2 linked regions of the Drosophila melanogaster genome follow. The protein of the gene in region 1 purifies or fractionates together with the protein of each later gene. This does not show direct contact. Each region holds a gene or a part of one and is shown in the gene's direction. Other genes may lie near its edges.

Region 1 (3,753 bases):
TGTTCTAAACTTATGACGTGCCGCTTCAAAGCCAACTGACGTCTTTTTCGTACATATGATCTGAATTCAAGTTAGGCGTGCCAAAAAGTTAACTTATAAGCTTTTTACCACAGAAGAGAACATATACTCTTTGGCCTAGAGACAAGAATATATAATTTAATATAAAAATGTATTTTTATTATTATTGGCTTATGTCTGTGCTATAAAACTTTTCATTTCCGGTTTGAGCCACCACTACGTTTGCAGGTATGTTTCGGTATATTTCCGGTAGATGGTGTACCCGTCAGTGGTTTCCCTTACCGGCCCCCAAACGGTCACACTCGCCCGAGCATAGCAGATTTGGAGAAAAAAACAACTGTAATTAGGAGCCATAATTAATTCATTTCGAATCGCACACGCTTTTCAGTTTATCTAGCCGAAAGTACAGAATGTTGGCCTCCGCCTGGCGCAGCGTGGCCACCTCCGTGGAGACCCAGTTGACGGCCACCTACTTCCGAGGTTCGTCCAGCAATCCGACACTGCTCCTGCGTTCCTGGCGGACGATTCCTCGAGCGGATGCCCCTGGTTTCGGAGCGATTCGGCGGCGTTTTCTGGCTGTGCCCGTCATCTGTCCAAGTCTCGTCAAGCGTAATCTATCCGTACATACGTGTTTAATCTAATCTCTCCCGGTGCTGCAATTTCATTTCCCAGTATCTACGCTTTTTGTTCGTCCGTAGCTAGTCAGTCTGTTTATCTGTTGGCCATCTATGTAGCTAAATGTGAAACCATCGCTTCGTTTCAGTGCAAAAACTACGAAAAGTCGGCTTCAGAGGCATGCACAGCACATTGGAGGACGTGCAGCTGGAGGGCATGGAGATCAAGATCCTGCCGGCCCTGCAGGATAACTATATGTATCTGATTGTAGACACGAAGACGCGCGAGGCGGCCGTGGTGGATCCCGTGGAGCCGGAGCTGGTCATTAAGACGGTGCAGGAGCAGCAGCTGACCCTCAGCAAGGTGCTGACCACGCACCATCACTGGGACCACGCCGGTGGCAATGAAAAGCTGCTCAAGCTGTGGGAGAAGGAGCTGGACGTGTATGGCGGCGATGACCGCATCGGGGCATTGAACAAAAAGGTTCAGCAGGACGACACCTTCACCATTGGTGGTCTGCATGTCAAGTGCTTGTCCACGCCGTGCCACACTACCGGCCACATCTGCTACCACATCACCGCGCAGCAGGGCAGCGGCGAGGGAGCCGTCTTCACCGGCGACACCCTCTTCCAGGGCGGATGCGGCCGCTTCTTCGAGGGCACTCCCGAGGAAATGTACGAGGCGCTGTGCACAAAGCTCTCCGCCTTGCCGGACGCCACAAAGGTGTTCTGTGGCCACGAGTACACGCTGCAGAACATGAGCTTCGCCCGTCACGTCGAGCCCGACAACGAGGTCATCCAGCAGAGGATCGAGTGGGCCAAGCACCGGCGCGCCTCCCAGGATCCCACTGTGCCCTCCACCATTGGCGAGGAGAAGTCCTGGAACCCCTTTATGCGCGTTCACGAAGCCACCGTGCAGAAGCACGCTGGCGGAGCCACCGATCCCGTCGTCACCATGGGCAAGCTGCGCAAGGAAAAGGACACCTTCAAAGCCTGATCTATTTCCTCGAAAGTTTCGAAACTTGTGATTTAATATTGGATTTTAATGGTTAATAAAATTAACGATGTGTGTGAAGTGCGGACAATGGATTTTTAATTATTCGCAATTTATCGGATTAAAACTTTTTTTGTTTTATTCAAATTATGACATAAATTTATTTCTTCAGCTTTATTTAAAAGAATTTATTTTTGGTATTTTGGTCTAGCAACACCCTAGAGAAGAGGGTACTGGTTGATTCCAACTTTATTCATAGAGCAATGAACTTAACAAATTTTTTAAATCCAAAGATTTTAGCAAATTTCGTAAAATTTGAATCACAACGGTTTTGGTTAGGCGTTAGTGCCTTTTGGGCATATCAAAAATACTTTTGGTATTTCTAGCGATCTATCGCCAACGATCTGGCAACACCGTCTGCCATTAACACAAAAATCGCGGCGTCTCTCCAATGGGATTTTGAAATAAAAACAAGTTAACAGCACGGCGCGATGAACGCAAACAAACGCAGAAGTTCGGTGGGTTCTTCGAAAATTAATTGATTGAGAAGCGCTCATGGTAGACCTACTCTTCTTGCAGCTGCGTAAGGTGCCGACCAAGGAAGATGAGGCGACCACAACAACGTCCGCGATCAAACAACAAATCAAGCGACGCATCAGTTTCAGTGGCAAGAAGTCCGTGAGGTACGTACAGTAGATATATGCGATGTACAACGCTCACCCGCCCTCCACATAGGGAATTCGTAAACACCAAGGAGACCAACAACTGGGACGACTCGTACGAGGTGTCGGAACACCATGCTGAGGACAGCTCGGGATCGAAGTGCTGCAGCACAGGATCAGCATCAGTAGCGAGGGTTTCCGAACATGCCGACAAGGAGAACATTCCCCTGCCCAGCCACTGCGAGCGGGAACATGTCGATCTGTCCGTGAATCTGCAGGCCAGCGTGGATTTCACCCTGCTGCCCTGCGAAATGATGGACAAATCGAGGAAGACATCCTCAATCTCTGCTGTGTCCTTTTGCATGACCTCCGAGGAGCGAAAACTGTTGCAAAGCAGTCTCAGCGACCGCCAGCTGGTAGACAAGACCATGGATCTGATATCCGGATCTCTCGTCAACCGCCACCAAATCGCGTCGAGCGTTTGTGAGGAATCCTCCATCAAAGTGGCAACAAACAAACTGGAGAAGGTGGTATTCACGCCAGCTGTCAAGGCTGTGAGTGACTCCTTCATGGACATCACGCCATTGGGATTTACTGATCCCAATCCTGCTGCTCCCGCTCCAGCTCCAGTTGCAACTCTATATCCTCCAACTCAACAAAGTTTAATGGAGCTCGAAGAGGACAGCATTGTAAGGGAGATGCGTGAGTCCACCAAAAACCAGACAAAAACTCCGGCGCAGAAATCGCTTTTCATGGACGTGGGGGAGACCAAGAATAAAACCCAACAGGGAGCTGGAGGTGCATCCTTCTCATTAAATGGTTAGTATTATCTCAGTTAAATCCCTTCCCAATAGTTTCTAATTAGCAAGTTTTCGGTTGTCACATTATTTTGCAGTTTCCAATAACCGAGATCGTTCGCCATCGAACTCCTTTGAGAGCCTTAATAGCACCATGAACTTTACGAGAGATGAGTCGATGCTGATACCATTCGACATGATTTCGGGGAAAAACATAAGCAAGAAACTCAATTTTCGTCAACTCAACGAAGACCTGGAGACGGGTAAGATCCAGATATTTCCGAACGGGCCAAAAACGCCGACCACGGATCGTAAGGCCAAGAAAAATCGGTTTTGGTGCGGCCTTGAAGAGGAGAGCGCGGGAGATAATAGTCCAAAGAAAGATATAAGAAGCATAGTGCCACGAGGAATGTTAAATTTCAGTGAGAACATGACCTTGACGCCGACGAAAACAAGTCCAGTTGGAAAGAACAAGGAGAAACTAAAGGCGGCGGATGAGAAGCAGAAGTATCGACTATCCCAGGCGGATGAGATGATGCTTGACAATACAAACTTCTTGGCCCACGCCAGACTAGGCGACGAAACGCAGTCGAGAAATACGTCGAAGAACTCGACAAGAAGGGAGACAACTTGCGAAACCTCGGAACTGAATTTGGAATATCCTACGT
Region 2 (3,753 bases), on another chromosome or scaffold:
ACGGACATACTGCGACAGGATTAGCACATCCGTGTGCTTGATGTCCAGGCCCAAGGTGCATTCCGGGCAAAACTTGGTCTGGCAGGCGGATTTAAGCATCAGGTGAGCACGCGGCGATTCCACATTAACGCCCTCGAAGATCTTTACACTGTTCTCCTGCTTCTCATGAACTGGAACAGGCATTGAACAGAAATTCGAATTAATTTTAAAGATGTGCATTTATTTGAGGGGTTATGAAACACTTCACAGAGGTCTCTGTAACTCACTCTCTTTTATTTGCCTTGGCATTGTGGTGGCTACGCCACGCACCTGAGCAATGGTACTTCGTACTGTCCTGGTGGCCAATTGCAACACAAAGGACATGTTGAAGGCGTTTTTTATTTACAATTTATTAAAATTGTGCTCAAGTGTAATGTTGTTACTACAAATGTCATTCACCACGAAAGCCGCAGCGTTGCCACATCAATTGATTTAAATATTACTTCTCAAAAAAAATTATCGATGTCAGTATTTAAATAACGATATCTGTTTTTATTTTTATTGCAAGCACAAATTTGTCATTCGAGAATTTTTCATGTAAATACGTAAAAAAAATAGAGAAAAATGCCTGCCTAACGAATAAAACTTTGTTTAGTCGTTACATACTGGAATATCCCTTGTATTATCAAATATCAGTTTCGATAGTTCGATAATTCACTACACGTATAAGAAAGACGCCGGCTGGAAGAAAAAGTAATATGTGTAAGCAAATGCAAGGAAATTACGGCCAACAAAAACTAAACTCTGAACCTTTGCAGCCGCTTCAGTGAGCAGTAAGAGCACCGTGGTATCCTCCATCATCTCGGGCCTCCTGAGCATTGTTTTGTTCGGCACACTGCGTTTCTGCTCAGAATGGTTTAACGACTCGCAGCTGAGGGTCCTTTTGGGCGGATACCTCTTCTCCTGGGTGTTCATCCTGAGCCTCACGTGCGTCTCCAACGCGGAGATGGTTGTTTTCGGCCAGGACTTCCAGGCCAAGCTGCTACCAGAGATTATTTTCTGTCTCTCACTCACGGTGGCCGCCGCGGGACTCGTGCATCGTGTCTGCGCCACCACCAGTGTTCTCTTTTCCCTGGTGGGGCTCTACTTCCTTAACAGGATCTCCACGAAGTATTACTCCGTTCAGGTGCCCAGCGTGGATGCTCCTACGACGAGAAAGGGCGGAAAGAAGTTCAAATGAACCATTCGTCTGCTTCTTATTTCATTACTAACACATTCGAATACCTAATCTTTAATAACCTTTAATAAATAACTAACTTATAAAGTCATGTCAATCGGTCACTTTGAAGCTATCCAAGCTCCATTATTACAGTTGGCCAGCCTTATACTACTGAGTATTGGTGCTGTGGAATAGGGGATCTTATTGGGAATTCATGAATTCAGTTAAAAAACTCCAATCTCTGGTTATATGGATATCGTAATCCTTTTCCAACAGAATCAAAACCTCGAACGCAAAGTCGTTTTCACAGCGTCTCTATTGCATGCCTTCTCGCAGAAAATGTATAGCTCCACTTTTTGGTTGCTTTTCAAAGCTGCTTCCAGTTGTTATAAAGTGAATTCGAACAAATAGATCAATCTGAAAAGTCGGTTTAGTTTGCTTTAAACATTTTGGATTTGTTTTGTCAACAAAAATTGCCGGCAAAGTGTGACCAGCTTGCGTTTTACGCGTTTAGTATATTTTAGTAATGAAATACTGCATATAATGGTTGCCTGCTGGTCAACGCTTTCGAGTATATTTTCAATAAAAACTTTTGAAATAAACTCAGCTGTATTTAACAATAACTGTTTAAAAACGATTGCATCATGCATTTGTAATTATACAGGGTGATGTCTTATTATTATCAAAGAAACTTTTAGATATTTATAGCTCTTTTCTGATAGTCTATTCGAGCGCTCTGGCAACACCCCACCTAGGCGCGCCTACAGACGTTACTGGCAACGCCAAATGAATAGCGTCGCGTCTTTTTTGTAGTTTAAAATTTTGTGGAGTTTTAGCGAAATAAGTTAAGTTTATTGTTGTCGTGTATGTAACTTCGTGAAGAATCCTTTTTTCAAGTTTCAATTGCAAATATGTAAGTTGCCACCGCGAGCATGCCATAGGCAAGAGAACATACAAACTCCGAGCTCACCCGTCTGTTTTTCAGGTCGAAGCCCCAGAACAACGACACTCTGGAGCTGGACGACATCCTAAGCCAGCCAGTGAAGGACAAGGAGCGCTTCGCCGCCTTTATGATGCGCAAGCTTGCCGAAAATAAGCCGGCACAGAATGACAATCTCTTTGGAAACTTCAAACTTGACTTTGACCTTGATTTCGAGGTTCCACTGATCAAGAAGTCTCAGGCTAAGCCCAAGTCCAAACTACCAGAAGTACAGCCCCTTGGGGAGTTGGTCAGCAAAAACAGTGCCGCCACCGAGAAAGTCAATGAGCCGCCTGTGGACCAGGCCCCCAATGAGAACGTGCCTCCGCGTCGATCGCCAACATTGTCGCCCAATAACCGACGTTCCATGCGCCGCAGTGGAAATGTACCCGGATCTGATAAACTACGTCGACATGCCATCCGCCGGCGGTCCAGGAGCTGTGGACGCCAATTGCTTCCAGAGTTTGAGGAGACCGTAAACTTGACCCGCAGCATATCAAGTCCTGTAAACTTCGTATGTTAAATACATGTCCCACAAATACCTAATCCTTGTACTAACAACAATGCTCTTTTAGTTACCAGAAATAAGCAGCACACCTTGCACAGAGAAACAAAAAGAGGAAGTTGCCAAAAATACAACAAGAGTGGAAACTGATAAACCAGCGGAAAAACCTATGGAACTATCACAAGAACCAGAGCCGGAAAATCCGCTGCAGACAAAGGTGACCTCACCTGCCAGGAACCCTATTCTTGCAGCTGAAATTGAACAAATCTGCAAAGAGCGACAGAGTTCCTTTCACAAGAATGTACTGCAGCTGGACTATTCTGGACGGGCACCGTACTCGCGACCCCCTACTCCGTCATCACCATCCGTTGCGGGCCTACGACGTACCTACACAATGGAAAAGGGCCCAGCTCCAGGCCAGCTGCTGCTATCGCCATCACATCGCTATGACACACCGAGCAAAATGCCAGTAGTTAAGGCAAAGCGGTTCAATCAGGAGTTAATGGTCCCGGACACGCCAGAGCGACAAAGTCACGACCCAGCCTGGCAATCAGAGCCCCAACCGGAGTTCGTAGTGCCGGAAACCCAGCCGCAGGATCTGGGAGAGTTGGTGCAGACTCTGTCGCGCAGCGCGATCAGCCCAATTGTGGTGATAAACACATCCAATTCGAATCGTAGTGTAAGAAGGGACGCTGTCGCAATGAAATCTGTTCCGACTTCGCCAGTTACGGCGTTATCTTCACCACCGATTGCGCCTTCTCCTAGGCGATCCGCCGCTGCCTCTCCCCAGAAATCCATTGCACAACTGCCGCGGGTGGAAGAAAATATGGATGCCATAATGACCGACGACGAAAGCGACGAACATCCCAGCACTGTGCCATTAAATCTAGCTCCTTCAGGTGGGAACACAACCCGGCAACGGCGTTTGCGCAGTAGTAATCGGGCTCGAGCTACAATCGAATCTCAGGAGAGCTCTATGCGCTTGCTTAACCTTCACAAGTCGGTCAATGCCAAAAAGTCAAAGCCGCGAAAGACTGCTATACCGCTGAATAAGGCTCCAAGTGCCCCCAT

Evidence for each region. Proteins that work in one complex are often made in the same cells at the same time.
Region 2: the proteins of Spc105R (region 1) and Cenp-C purify together in Drosophila melanogaster (affinity purification with mass spectrometry; 3 studies listed by BioGRID, with this or other methods). This does not show direct contact.

The regions. Positions count from the first base shown.
Region 1 is NT_037436.4:20,798,362-20,802,114, forward strand, and holds the start of Spc105R (Spc105-related), read left to right. Parts: upstream 1-2,048; 5' UTR 2,049-2,117; coding exon 2,118-2,144; exon of another isoform or gene 2,145-2,181; coding exon of another isoform or gene 2,182-2,205; coding exon 2,206-2,309; intron 2,310-2,361; coding exon 2,362-3,107; intron 3,108-3,183; coding exon 3,184-3,753. Other genes in the region: tzn (tenzing norgay), read left to right, coding at 429-627, 782-1,629.
Region 2 is NT_033777.3:8,562,146-8,565,898, forward strand, and holds the start of Cenp-C (centromeric protein-C), read left to right. Parts: upstream 1-1,959; 5' UTR 1,960-2,109; coding exon 2,110-2,111; intron 2,112-2,183; coding exon 2,184-2,691; intron 2,692-2,752; coding exon 2,753-3,753. Other genes in the region: mRpS18A (mitochondrial ribosomal protein S18A), read right to left, coding at 1-170, 267-363; CG31460 (uncharacterized protein), read left to right, coding at 738-741, 798-1,219.